Linked DNA regions of Arabidopsis thaliana. The protein of the gene in region 2 purifies or fractionates together with the protein of the main gene of each other region. This does not show direct contact. Each region holds a gene or a part of one and is shown on either strand. Other genes may lie near its edges.

The links. The genes of interacting proteins can lie anywhere in the genome.
Region 1: the proteins of AT3G60770 (region 2) and AT5G15520 fractionate together in Arabidopsis thaliana (co-fractionation; one large-scale study listed by BioGRID). This does not show direct contact.

Annotation. Positions count from the first base shown.
Region 1 is NC_003076.8:5,035,628-5,041,065, forward strand, and holds AT5G15520 (Ribosomal protein S19e family protein), read right to left. Parts: upstream 3,128-5,438; 5' UTR 2,510-3,127; coding exon 2,426-2,509; intron 2,141-2,425; coding exon 2,050-2,140; intron 1,966-2,049; coding exon 1,782-1,965; intron 1,688-1,781; coding exon 1,615-1,687; 3' UTR 1,394-1,614; downstream 1-1,393. Other genes in the region: AT5G15510 (TPX2 (targeting protein for Xklp2) protein family), read left to right, coding at 6-104, 403-462, 549-643, 760-961; BCCP2 (biotin carboxyl carrier protein 2), read left to right, coding at 3,328-3,459, 3,653-3,694, 3,792-3,910, 4,003-4,315, 4,461-4,532, 4,635-4,700, 4,787-4,810; AT5G15533 (uncharacterized protein), read right to left, coding at 5,030-5,128, 5,192-5,209.
Region 2 is NC_003074.8:22,459,146-22,464,312, forward strand, and holds AT3G60770 (Ribosomal protein S13/S15), read right to left. Parts: upstream 2,635-5,167; 5' UTR 2,512-2,634; coding exon 2,489-2,511; intron 2,413-2,488; coding exon 2,340-2,412; intron 1,923-2,339; coding exon 1,784-1,922; intron 1,685-1,783; coding exon 1,498-1,684; intron 1,414-1,497; coding exon 1,380-1,413; 3' UTR 1,044-1,379; downstream 1-1,043. Other genes in the region: AT3G60760 (uncharacterized protein), read right to left, coding at 4-57; AT3G60780 (hypothetical protein (DUF1442)), read left to right, coding at 3,550-3,609, 3,889-4,485.

The DNA of each region.
Region 1 (5,438 bases), on a different chromosome or scaffold from region 2:
TTCAGTGCCTAGTGAAGCCTCATTGGAAAGACATTACAAGACCAGTCGACTTGACGCTCCACTCAGATGTCCGGGCAGTTGAACGCGCAGAATTTGATTACCAGGTAACCTTGCTAATGCAATGATTAAATCTACATTTTGTTGGGCTTGAAGTTCAAGATACCTTAAAACATAGCCGCTGACATGATTTGGCTTCAGTAACCATTTCATTCTGTCAAATCATTTAGAGTATACTTGTTTTCTTATCAGCTGGTTGTGTTAAGACTTGAGACGGAAAGGAAAATAGCTGATAGTGTCAAATAGTGTGTATTGTAGTCTGTAGCCAAGGTTGACTTGTCTATAGTAACTTTGCATTGTTCCATAAATTTCTTCATGTTAAAGTCTGAATTTTTGTTGTTCTAGGTTGCCGAGAAGATGAGCTTCATTGAGCAATACAAAATGGAAAGAGAAAGACAACAGAAGGTAAACTTTAATATGAGATGTTGTGGCCATATCCGATAATAGAGTTTTGCTTTAACTGATTTTGATAAATCCAATATTGTTTTTAGTTGGCAGAGGAAGAAGAGATAAGAAGGCTGAGGAAAGAATTGGTCCCAAAAGCACAACCAATGCCATACTTTGATCGACCATTCATTCCAAGAAGGTAAAAGACTGGTACATAAATACTATCCTCTTGAATCTTTCTTATTATGAGAGCATGATAGGTAATATAGATATTGTTTTCAAGTGAGAAATATGTTTTCAATATAGTTTTCACAGACCAACTAATAGAGTAAACTTTCTTATAACAATGAACGTCATTGCAAAAGCTGACACAGTTGCTTCTTGTTGTTTTCTTTTACCATTAAAAGGTCGAGCAAACATCCAACTGCACCACGAGATCCCAAGTTTCACATACCGCAACACAAGAAGATCAGATGCTGCAGTTCATCTTCTTGGAGTGAAACTGGCTCCTGCATGAGCGATTTCCAATATCAGTTTCTCTAGAAAGCTTCTTTTGGATTTACTACTATATCATCCTTGTTCATATTCTCATTTTCAAAACTACATTACCTTTCTGTAACCAATTAGTTGCAGTTTCATAGATTTGACAATCATTCTTGTTTCACCTTTGTAATAATAATCTGGTCTTCACCCAAGAAAATGAGAAAGATTCCATATTGTTTGCAAAATCTGGTTTGATCTGGTTCAGAAAGATATAATACTTATCCTCCAGTTTGAATTTGGATTTAACTGACTTATCTTATGATTCAATCCGTGTTCCACCTCTCATACATTTGTTTGCAGAATCCGGTGTACATTGGTTTAGTTCTGGTCAAGAAACATATGTGAGTTTTAAATCATCTTCCAATTTAAATTTGTATATGACTGACATACCAGAAGAGTTTTCATAGAGAAGAGTAAATTGTTTCTTGAGATTTCTATGAAGAAGAGTAAACTTGGGATACAAAATCACTGTAAAGAACAAAACTTTAATAGCTTCATCAAATATCAAATTAGTTCGTCAAAATGAACAGAGCAGAAGAGAGTAGAGATCTAAAATCACAAAAGCTAAAAAGATCTATAACATTCTTGAGGCTCCTCCAAAGCAAGCATAAGGAGAACAACAGCTCTTCATGATTCAGCTGCAATACGCCCAGCAACCTGATCCAAATCCCGTTGACCGCTCGAAGTGATTCTTCTCCCTCTGAGACAAAGAATGAACAAAGGAGGAGAGATGAAAGTAAGTCACTAACAAGGTCTTCCTACGAAAAGTGCCTTTAGAAAGAAATAAGAATTACCCTTTAGTGTCAAGCTCGACAATGCTCATTGTCTCCAACTGTTGGAGAATATGGCGAGCAATACCACCACTGCTCTTACAGAAATGTGGTGGTCGACTTCCATTTCTTTTGCTACCTCCATAAATTCTTCTGAAAGCACCAACACCAAGACCTCCTCTCAAGTAAATCTTTCTGGCCATAGAAGCTGCACCATACAAGATATCAACAACGTTCATAACGACTCTATAAAAACAAAAACAAGCGAAGAGAAAGCTAAGCTTTTTTTTACCAGCTCTAATGTAGTACCAATCAGGGTCATATGGAGCAAGCTCCTTCAAACGACCAGTCTTCACAATGTCTGTCCATAGAGGAAGCTCAATCTAAATCAGACAAAAGAGACAACTATTATTACAGTGAATTTCCAATTAGCTGCCTATGATCACTAACATCAAGAATCTATCATTTCTATCTCTATTTCTCTCTTCCTCAGTCGTTTTATAGTATTCAATGCCTCAAAATCACACCAACACATTGAACTACAATATCAGAAGCTCCCTCAAACTCTCAATTGTTTCCTCTAAAACTCATTATCAGATCCTTTTGTGACGTCTTTCGATTCTCAGCTGAATCAATCAAACTTGAGAGAGAAGCATCAAAACACTAACCTTTCCAGATCGCTTGAGGTGAGAAGCGTAAGCCTTCACGAAATCGTGAGGAGAAACATCTTTCACGGTTTTACCAGTCGCCATTTCACGAATCACTCCGTTAAGTTAAGCCAAGAGCTTTCAATTTTCAGTCACAAAGTCTATATATATCTGAGCAATCAATTTTCAATTAGGGTTTTTTTCGGACACACTGAACCCGAATCGACCCGCCTAACCCATTATGGGCCATTAAATCTATTTAAGCGGCTTATACGCTCCGTTTCAGTTAAAAGTGTAGTTCAGTCTTAATTATTATTTTAGCTACTGAAAGTTATAAAGATAAGATATGTTTTTGACCAGAAGCCACAGACAAGTTTAGCTGAGTAAAAAACGCATGGTCTTGTCTTCAATAAAACCCCACCTATCTGCATTTACTGAAGTGACCAACTATAAAATATGTTAAGTGTCACTGGATATTGTTGAGTTTTAAATCTTGCAGACATTATGACCAAAGATTGGATCAAAAAGACTGTTGGATTTGTGAAACAAATGCAGATTACATGGAGGCAATCTCTGAAAGACTGTTCCGGTGATTAGACCAGTAACACATGTATAGCTGAACACACATATCTATACATATCTATATCTATCTATATTGGTGTATTTTGTGTATATACTAAAAAATAAGACAGAGAAACACCGAGGCACTATGTTATGACATGGCACGATTGAACTGATAGAAGACAAAAGGAGCGGTTTGGTGAAGTTAGTTAAAAGAGTTGGGTTTCTTCGTAAGCATCGAAATCAGATTTCTTTACCAAAGAAAAAATAAAGAAAAGAAAAATATAGCAAGTACACTGCATTTCAACACTCTCATATCTCTCCTTCCTACTTCCTCGGTTTCATCGTCCACTGTCTCAACAATGGCGTCATTGTCGGTACCTTGCGTCAAGATCTGTGCTCTGAACAGGCGGGTCGGATCTCTCCCTGGAATCTCTACTCAAAGATGGCAGCCGCAACCCAATGGGATCTCCTTTCCCTCCGATGTTTCTCAGGTTTCTTCTGCTCCTCTTCTTTCTCTCTCTGCCTCTCTTGCATATGATGATTCTATAAAAAAGGTGTGAGCCTTTACGAAAAGATTTGCCTTTTTTCTGTGTGTGTTTTCCACTGCAATGGTGCTCGAGTTGGTGACTGTTTAAAGTTAGTATGCATTGATTCATAATTCTCTGTTCTGTTCTTCTCCTGCAGAATCATTCTGCATTCTGGAGGTTGCGTGCAACAACTAATGAGGTAGAGATTGCATGTTTTTTTTACCAACAATGGTCCATTCAATTAAACGTTAATTGTACGACTGTGTAACCTTCTTAATCATTTCGACTTTACCAAGGTTGTTTCTAACTCCACTCCAATGACTAATGGTGGGTATATGAACGGAAAAGCGAAAACCAATGTTCCTGAACCCGCCGAGCTCTCTGAATTTATGGCTAAAGTCTCTGGTCTTCTTAAGTAAGTCCACAATCCAATGAATCCCTTACTATCCTTTAGTTTGCTTTCTTTCGATGAACTAGTCAAGCACTAAACATTTTGATCTTATTAAGGCTTGTGGATTCAAAAGACATAGTGGAACTTGAACTAAAGCAGCTCGACTGTGAGATCGTTATTCGAAAGAAGGAAGCTTTACAGCAAGCTGTACCACCAGCTCCAGTTTATCACTCAATGCCTCCTGTAATGGCAGACTTTTCAATGCCTCCAGCTCAACCAGTGGCTCTTCCTCCTTCTCCTACTCCTACCTCAACGCCTGCAACAGCAAAACCAACATCCGCCCCATCCTCGTCTCATCCTCCACTCAAGAGTCCCATGGCTGGTACTTTCTATAGATCTCCTGGACCCGGTGAACCCCCTTTTGTAAAGGTACGAAAGAAAGGAAACAAAAACCTGCAAAATATTTGTTATTGGTTGAAGTTGAATCAAAGTCTTGAAAATTCTCTCTATCGAGATATGAACAGTTATTACATTTGAAATGGATGTGGGTTTGTTTTCTGTTTGCAATTTGCAGGTTGGAGATAAGGTACAGAAGGGTCAAATTGTTTGTATTATCGAAGCTATGAAACTGATGAACGAGATTGAGGTCTGATATTCTTCTTTATAACATTGTGATAACTTACACTTGGAAATTTGCGAATTTGAGGTTTCAGAGTCTTTAACTTGTGAAATCGTGTCTTGAAAACAGGCTGAGAAGTCAGGAACCATCATGGAACTACTGGCTGAAGATGGAAAACCAGTCAGCGTTGACACGGTACCGATCTCTCTCTTCGTTTTTTATTTTTTTCACAGTTCTTTCAGATCTTTGACTTATGGTTACTTATACAACAAATTATGCAGCCTCTTTTTGTCATCGCACCTTGAAACGAAGAAGGATCCTTTTAGCTGCTTCAAAACATCTTCAAAGTCTCGGTTAAGCTATAGCAACGTGCTAAAACTCATCAAGTAATTATTTCAGCTTAAGTTGGTTGGTTTCGGATTTCTGCTTGTCGCTTCAATAATTGACCCATCTTTTGGGATTTCACGTAACGTACTACACTTTGCTTTTTAGTTTTCTGCGAAACTAATGTATTTTGTAGCCTCTCAATCCTGGCTCTCTGTCCCATACTTCAGTTTTTTACACAACGCACTGCTTATAAAAGCACAGTTAAAGGTGTCTAAAGGAGAATGGTGTGTCTTTGACTGAGGCAACAAATAAAACAGTGAAAAGTTAAGGTTTTACATGATGCATTACCTTAATAAAACATGTTTCCATGTTTTCATCTATAAAAAAAGAAGGGAAAAACAGTAGCATAAAAGCTTCACTTATCATGCTATCGATGGTCAAACGAACCCACTGCAAGCAATCCTCTTTTCTAGCGTTTATGCATTTGTATTATAACCAGAAGTAGTTGAGGCCTACAGAAGTATTTGAGCAGTTGGTGGCTGCTGATAACTTCCTCCGGTTACACTTTGGGACCTGAGACCTTGCAGTAGTTTGAGAAACTCAGAG
Region 2 (5,167 bases):
TACAACTAGATCTGAGTATGCAAAAGCCACAGTGAAAAACTCTCTCATCAAAGCCATCCCAAAAACATGTCTACTTGCTGATTGTTTTTCCAAGAAGTTGATTATGTTGCACGTACTTGTGATTCCTCCAAGTAACCAATGGCTACACTGAACCAAACCAATCCACCAATAGTGACACGTATCTGTACTTACCTGCCTAGATTTTATGGTCGTTCTCTTCATTGTCTAAATTCACCAAAAGTTGTTGACACTTGGGACTGAGACATGTGATCTTGTATCATAAACTGCAGACTTTGAAATGGTTTGGCCTCTGTGAGAAACTTCACATGATAAGAAGGAACTCTCTGCAACAACTTATAAGTCATGTTAAAAAACTCCTATTGATTGAGCATCTTTCTATTTCATCATCCATTGATTTCGACTCAAGTCACCTTCCTTCACTAAAGTCTATTGACAATCCATATGACCATATTCTTTGCATGACCAGAGCAACCTCCAAATTATATCTTTCTCCTGTTTGTATTTGAACTTACTGTTGAACTTTGCTTCTTTCGTTACTTAAGAGCAAAAGAAAAGAGAACATATTTAGGTTTATGATGTAACCAGAACTGCTCTGTTTTATCTGTCGAGAGAAGGAGAACAAAGTAAGTGGGAACTTGTTTTTATTTCACTGAGACACGAAAGCAACGACTTGTAACTTCTCGGACACTGATACCCATTCACAACCGACACGATTGTGTTATGACACCGTTAGACTTTTACATACACACTTAATTATAGGAGTATAACATAAAACGGAAATTCTATTACAAACTAACACTTACAAGCTTACAAATTTTTTTATGTCTTCCATTAACATGTCCATCCCATCTAGGTGAAGGATCATCAAGAACTATACTTCTATAGGATTCCTTCATTTCCAAGGTATTAGCCAATCTGATGATTACAAAAACCACAAGAATGCCTGCGCTTGTAGACTCGGAAATTTGTTTTATCATCGTCGGAGTTTTAGAGTCTTTGTCTAATTTGCTAAACAATAAGTTAAAAGGAACAGACATTAAAAACATGCAACTGAAAGAAGTATTAAGACAATATCTAAGCCCAACACTAAATTATCTTCAACTTGGACGCTACTAGCGGAGATAATCTGTAAAAATTCTCTGAGAACGATAATTAACGTTAATTGAAAGATAAGCTGTAACGATAATGGAAAGATTCGCATAAACAAATTCGTTCCCTAAAATCAAAATCTCATAGCAAGTTGTAACCCATCAAAACTAGCGAAAACAGATACATAGGTTCAAAAGAAGAAGAGCTTTGAGTTGCAATGCAGACAATGAAATGGTCCTTCTTGAAGGACATGATCAACTCTATTCTTCTCAAGCCACAAGAGTGCTTGCAGTTGTAGACTCGCTGCAAAAGCAAGAACAAGAGTTGGCATCAAAATTCAAAGTCAAGAGATGATAATCAAGAACTCTTAGATGTTCAAGTACTTACTACTTCCAGACGGGTGGGAGCTTCTTGGTCTTCTTGTAGTAACGAGCAAGACGATGGATTCTGCTCTCTACAAGAATCAGCCTGAATTTGGAATCCTTATCTTTCCTGTTCCTCTCAAGATGCTTGCGGATAGCAACAGCTTTCTTGATCAAGTGATACAGATCCTCAGGGATCTCAGGTGCAAGACCTAGAGAGAATTACAAAAGATCTCTTAGTTTCAGTGATTATTCAATAAGCAAAAAAAAAACAAACACTTACAAAAGAATCAAGAGAGATTGAATAGTACCATGAGCTTTCAAAATTCTGAGAATCTTGCTTCCAGTAACACTTTTCACCTGTGGAATTCCGTGAGAGTCACGAAGAATGACACCAATCTGCGATGGGGTCAAACCCTTCTTCGCAAATTTGCAGATGGACTCATCAACCTAATTCAATTATCAAAACAAACATCAGGACCAATCAAAGTAAACACTTTATTCTCAAAGAAGTATCAAGTAAGCTAACTTGGAGAGTGCAAGCAAACACATCAATATTGATTGCATCACAGATAGTACTCATCAACAGATTAAATCACTAAAACGAACTATCACATCAAGATCATAACTCTATTTCTTAATATGTCACAAAAGGATTGAAACTAACAAACAACAAATCACATCAATAAAATCAAATTCAATGACAAACCAAAACTAAAATGCAGAAGATTCTCATATTCCAAATTTCCTAACCAAAATTAGAATCAAATCCTATGTTCAGCCATGCGAGAGGTAGCGATAACATTTTCGAAACACAAATTGAAAATGAAATCAAACAGAAATCTAGATTAAGTCTACGAATCTTACATCTTGAGGGGTTGTCTTGAGCCAGCTCGGAGATGAACGCTTGTACGGCAAAGCAGATGCCGAGATACCCTTACTACAGAACACACAACAAAATGTAAGAGAACAAGTTTTCAAATCAAGACTCAATCAGATACGAGAAGGAAACGAACCCTCTACTATGCATTCGACCCATGACTGCGACGGCGAAGTGATCGTCCTCTCACTGAGATCGTTCTTCCTCGGTTTCTTTCTTACGGCTGCTGCTGCGCTTCAGAGAATCCACAAACCCTAAATTGCTTCTTTATATATACCTCGTATCTTATGGTCGTGCCACAGGTCTTTTTGTTCCCTAATCTATATGGGCTTTAGTTTTCATACATAGGCCCAATTAAAATTAAAAGTCTACAAAAGGAGGCCTTGAAACTCATGTATAAAACAACACATATGTAAACGTTACCGTTTCGAAAATAGATAAAAACTTTCGTTAGTTTTAAATTAGTTAGCATTTAGTTCTTTTTCATAATCAGTATTAGCAGGTTTAAGTATACAATTTTGTTAGTTGTTTATTGTGTAATGAACTTTTAAATTGAAACTATATTATTACAATAGGATGCATAAGAAAGTATCCAATCGTTCTGATTAGAAGTCTAATCAAGTAGTCATCAACCTAAGGATAAGTGAACAACAAAGACGCATTAATAGCAAAACTCATTTTAAACAAAAACGGAACCTAGCTAAATTGGTTTATGCAATACCGATCTATTCACAATGTATGTAGACACAAAATAGGGATAAACGTCATTGTATACACATTAACCTAACAAGCACGTTACACTACATATATATCACAGTCCCAAACGAATACTTAACACATTACACATGATCATAATCAAAAGTCATTTAATATGTTGCACAGGGTGTAGAATTTAAACCCTAGACCTAAAGAAATAAATTCGCTATCGACATTAAATGTTATTCAAAACAAAATCTAAGAATCGAAGTGAGTAAATAAATGGGAAGATAGAAGGGAATGAAGGACACGTAAATGATTGGGTTAAACAAATGTCAACGCTAAGTCCATTCCTTAAAGCCAAACCACACCCATTTATTAACCTAACTGCCTAACCGTCTTGTCATCACCTTCCTTTCCTCAACTTCTCTTTATATAGAAACCCTTTCTTCTCTCGAAAGCCAAACATTTTTATCAAGATATTAACACAAGAATACGATCATGAGGCTCGTCTGGTCGCCGGAAACTGCCTCTAACGCTTACATCCACACCGTTAGATCAGTAAGAATCCTCCTCTAATTCAGATGGCGCATTTTGTACATCATCTTTTGTTTTCTTGTTCATGTTTGTTCACCGTCAATTCAACTTGTTGACCTAAATTGTATTTTGATCAAGGAAATCTTCAATATGTATATGAATTACAATTTTTATAGTTCTTATAATTAATATTTTCTTCGCTGTGAAGTATATGTGGTTTTTATTTAGTCGATCTTGATGTATCATGTACATATATGAATTTAGAATCTTGATGTAATTATTTCTATATGTGTGTCTTTGAAGTGTAAAAGCTACAGAGACTCGAGCGTGGCGGAGTTTTTATCGGCTACGGCGGCGGGATGGAACACGAGGCTGATCGTTGAGACTTGGTCACGTGGAGATCCGATCGCAACTAGCGTCGGACTCGCCGTGGCAGCGATACACACATGTGGAAGACACGTGTGCATAGTTCCTGACGAAGAGTCGAGGTCGGAGTACGAGGCGGTGATGAGAGGAGCCGTTACGAGTGACTCAACGGAGGTTATGGTCTTAGACTCGGCGGAGGACGTGGTGGAGAGAATCTCCGGCGTGGATTTCATGGTGGTTGATTCGAAACGCCACGAGTTCGTAAACGCGTTGGGATTAGCGAAAACGAGCAAAATGGGCGCCGTTTTGGTGTGTAAAAACGCCACGCTGAAATCTATCCCTGGGTTTAAATGGCAAGGTCTTTTGAGACGAGGTACACGTGTCGTGAGATCGGTGTTCTTACCCGTCGGGAGAGGATTAGAGATCGTACACGTGGGAGCCAGTGGTGGTGGTAATGGTTTGAGGAAGATTCCTAGCCGTTGGATTAAACACATAGATCCTCGATCTGGAGAGGAACACTTGTTTAAGCGTTAGTCAACGTTTTTGTTTTCCCTTTTAATCAAAAACAATGTCATGTATTTTTTCCATAACAATTACCATTTCTAATCATGTAATAGATAGAAAAGAATATCACCACATCAAGAAGTAATTGGTGATTTGTTTCCAAATGTATAGCTTCCTTTTGCTTCTAGATTTGTTTCCCAAAAATGTTATTTTTGAATTAGATGAGAACAAACCCATGATACCTTTAATATTCCTCCTGATTTGGCCAACCAAAGAAGTCTAATTTTCACTCAGTTGCTAATGAAACATAAATAATTACTTGGGACTTGATTTTACACTCCTAAAAGAAGTGATAGACTTGGTCTTGGACTTTATGATGTAATGGGATTGAAACCCTAAATGTGTGTAATCTCAATCAAACACAACTTTTAAAAACAATAAGAAGAAGTAATATATTCGTCTGTACTTTTGAAAATTGTTAGTTATTTTAGGGTTTTTTTGTGGGATTATAAGCCATCACTACTTGGGAGAATTATCTTAAATGTGTGATTTTTTTTTATTTTAAAATGTAACGCATCTCACGCCTAATAGAGTAATAATCGTTCGTACACGTATCTAAGAATATAGTCTACAATTTACTTTCATTTGAAGATAATCTTGTATTTACACAGAATCAATTTAATTTGTCCAACTTCAATGTATTTGGGAGAAA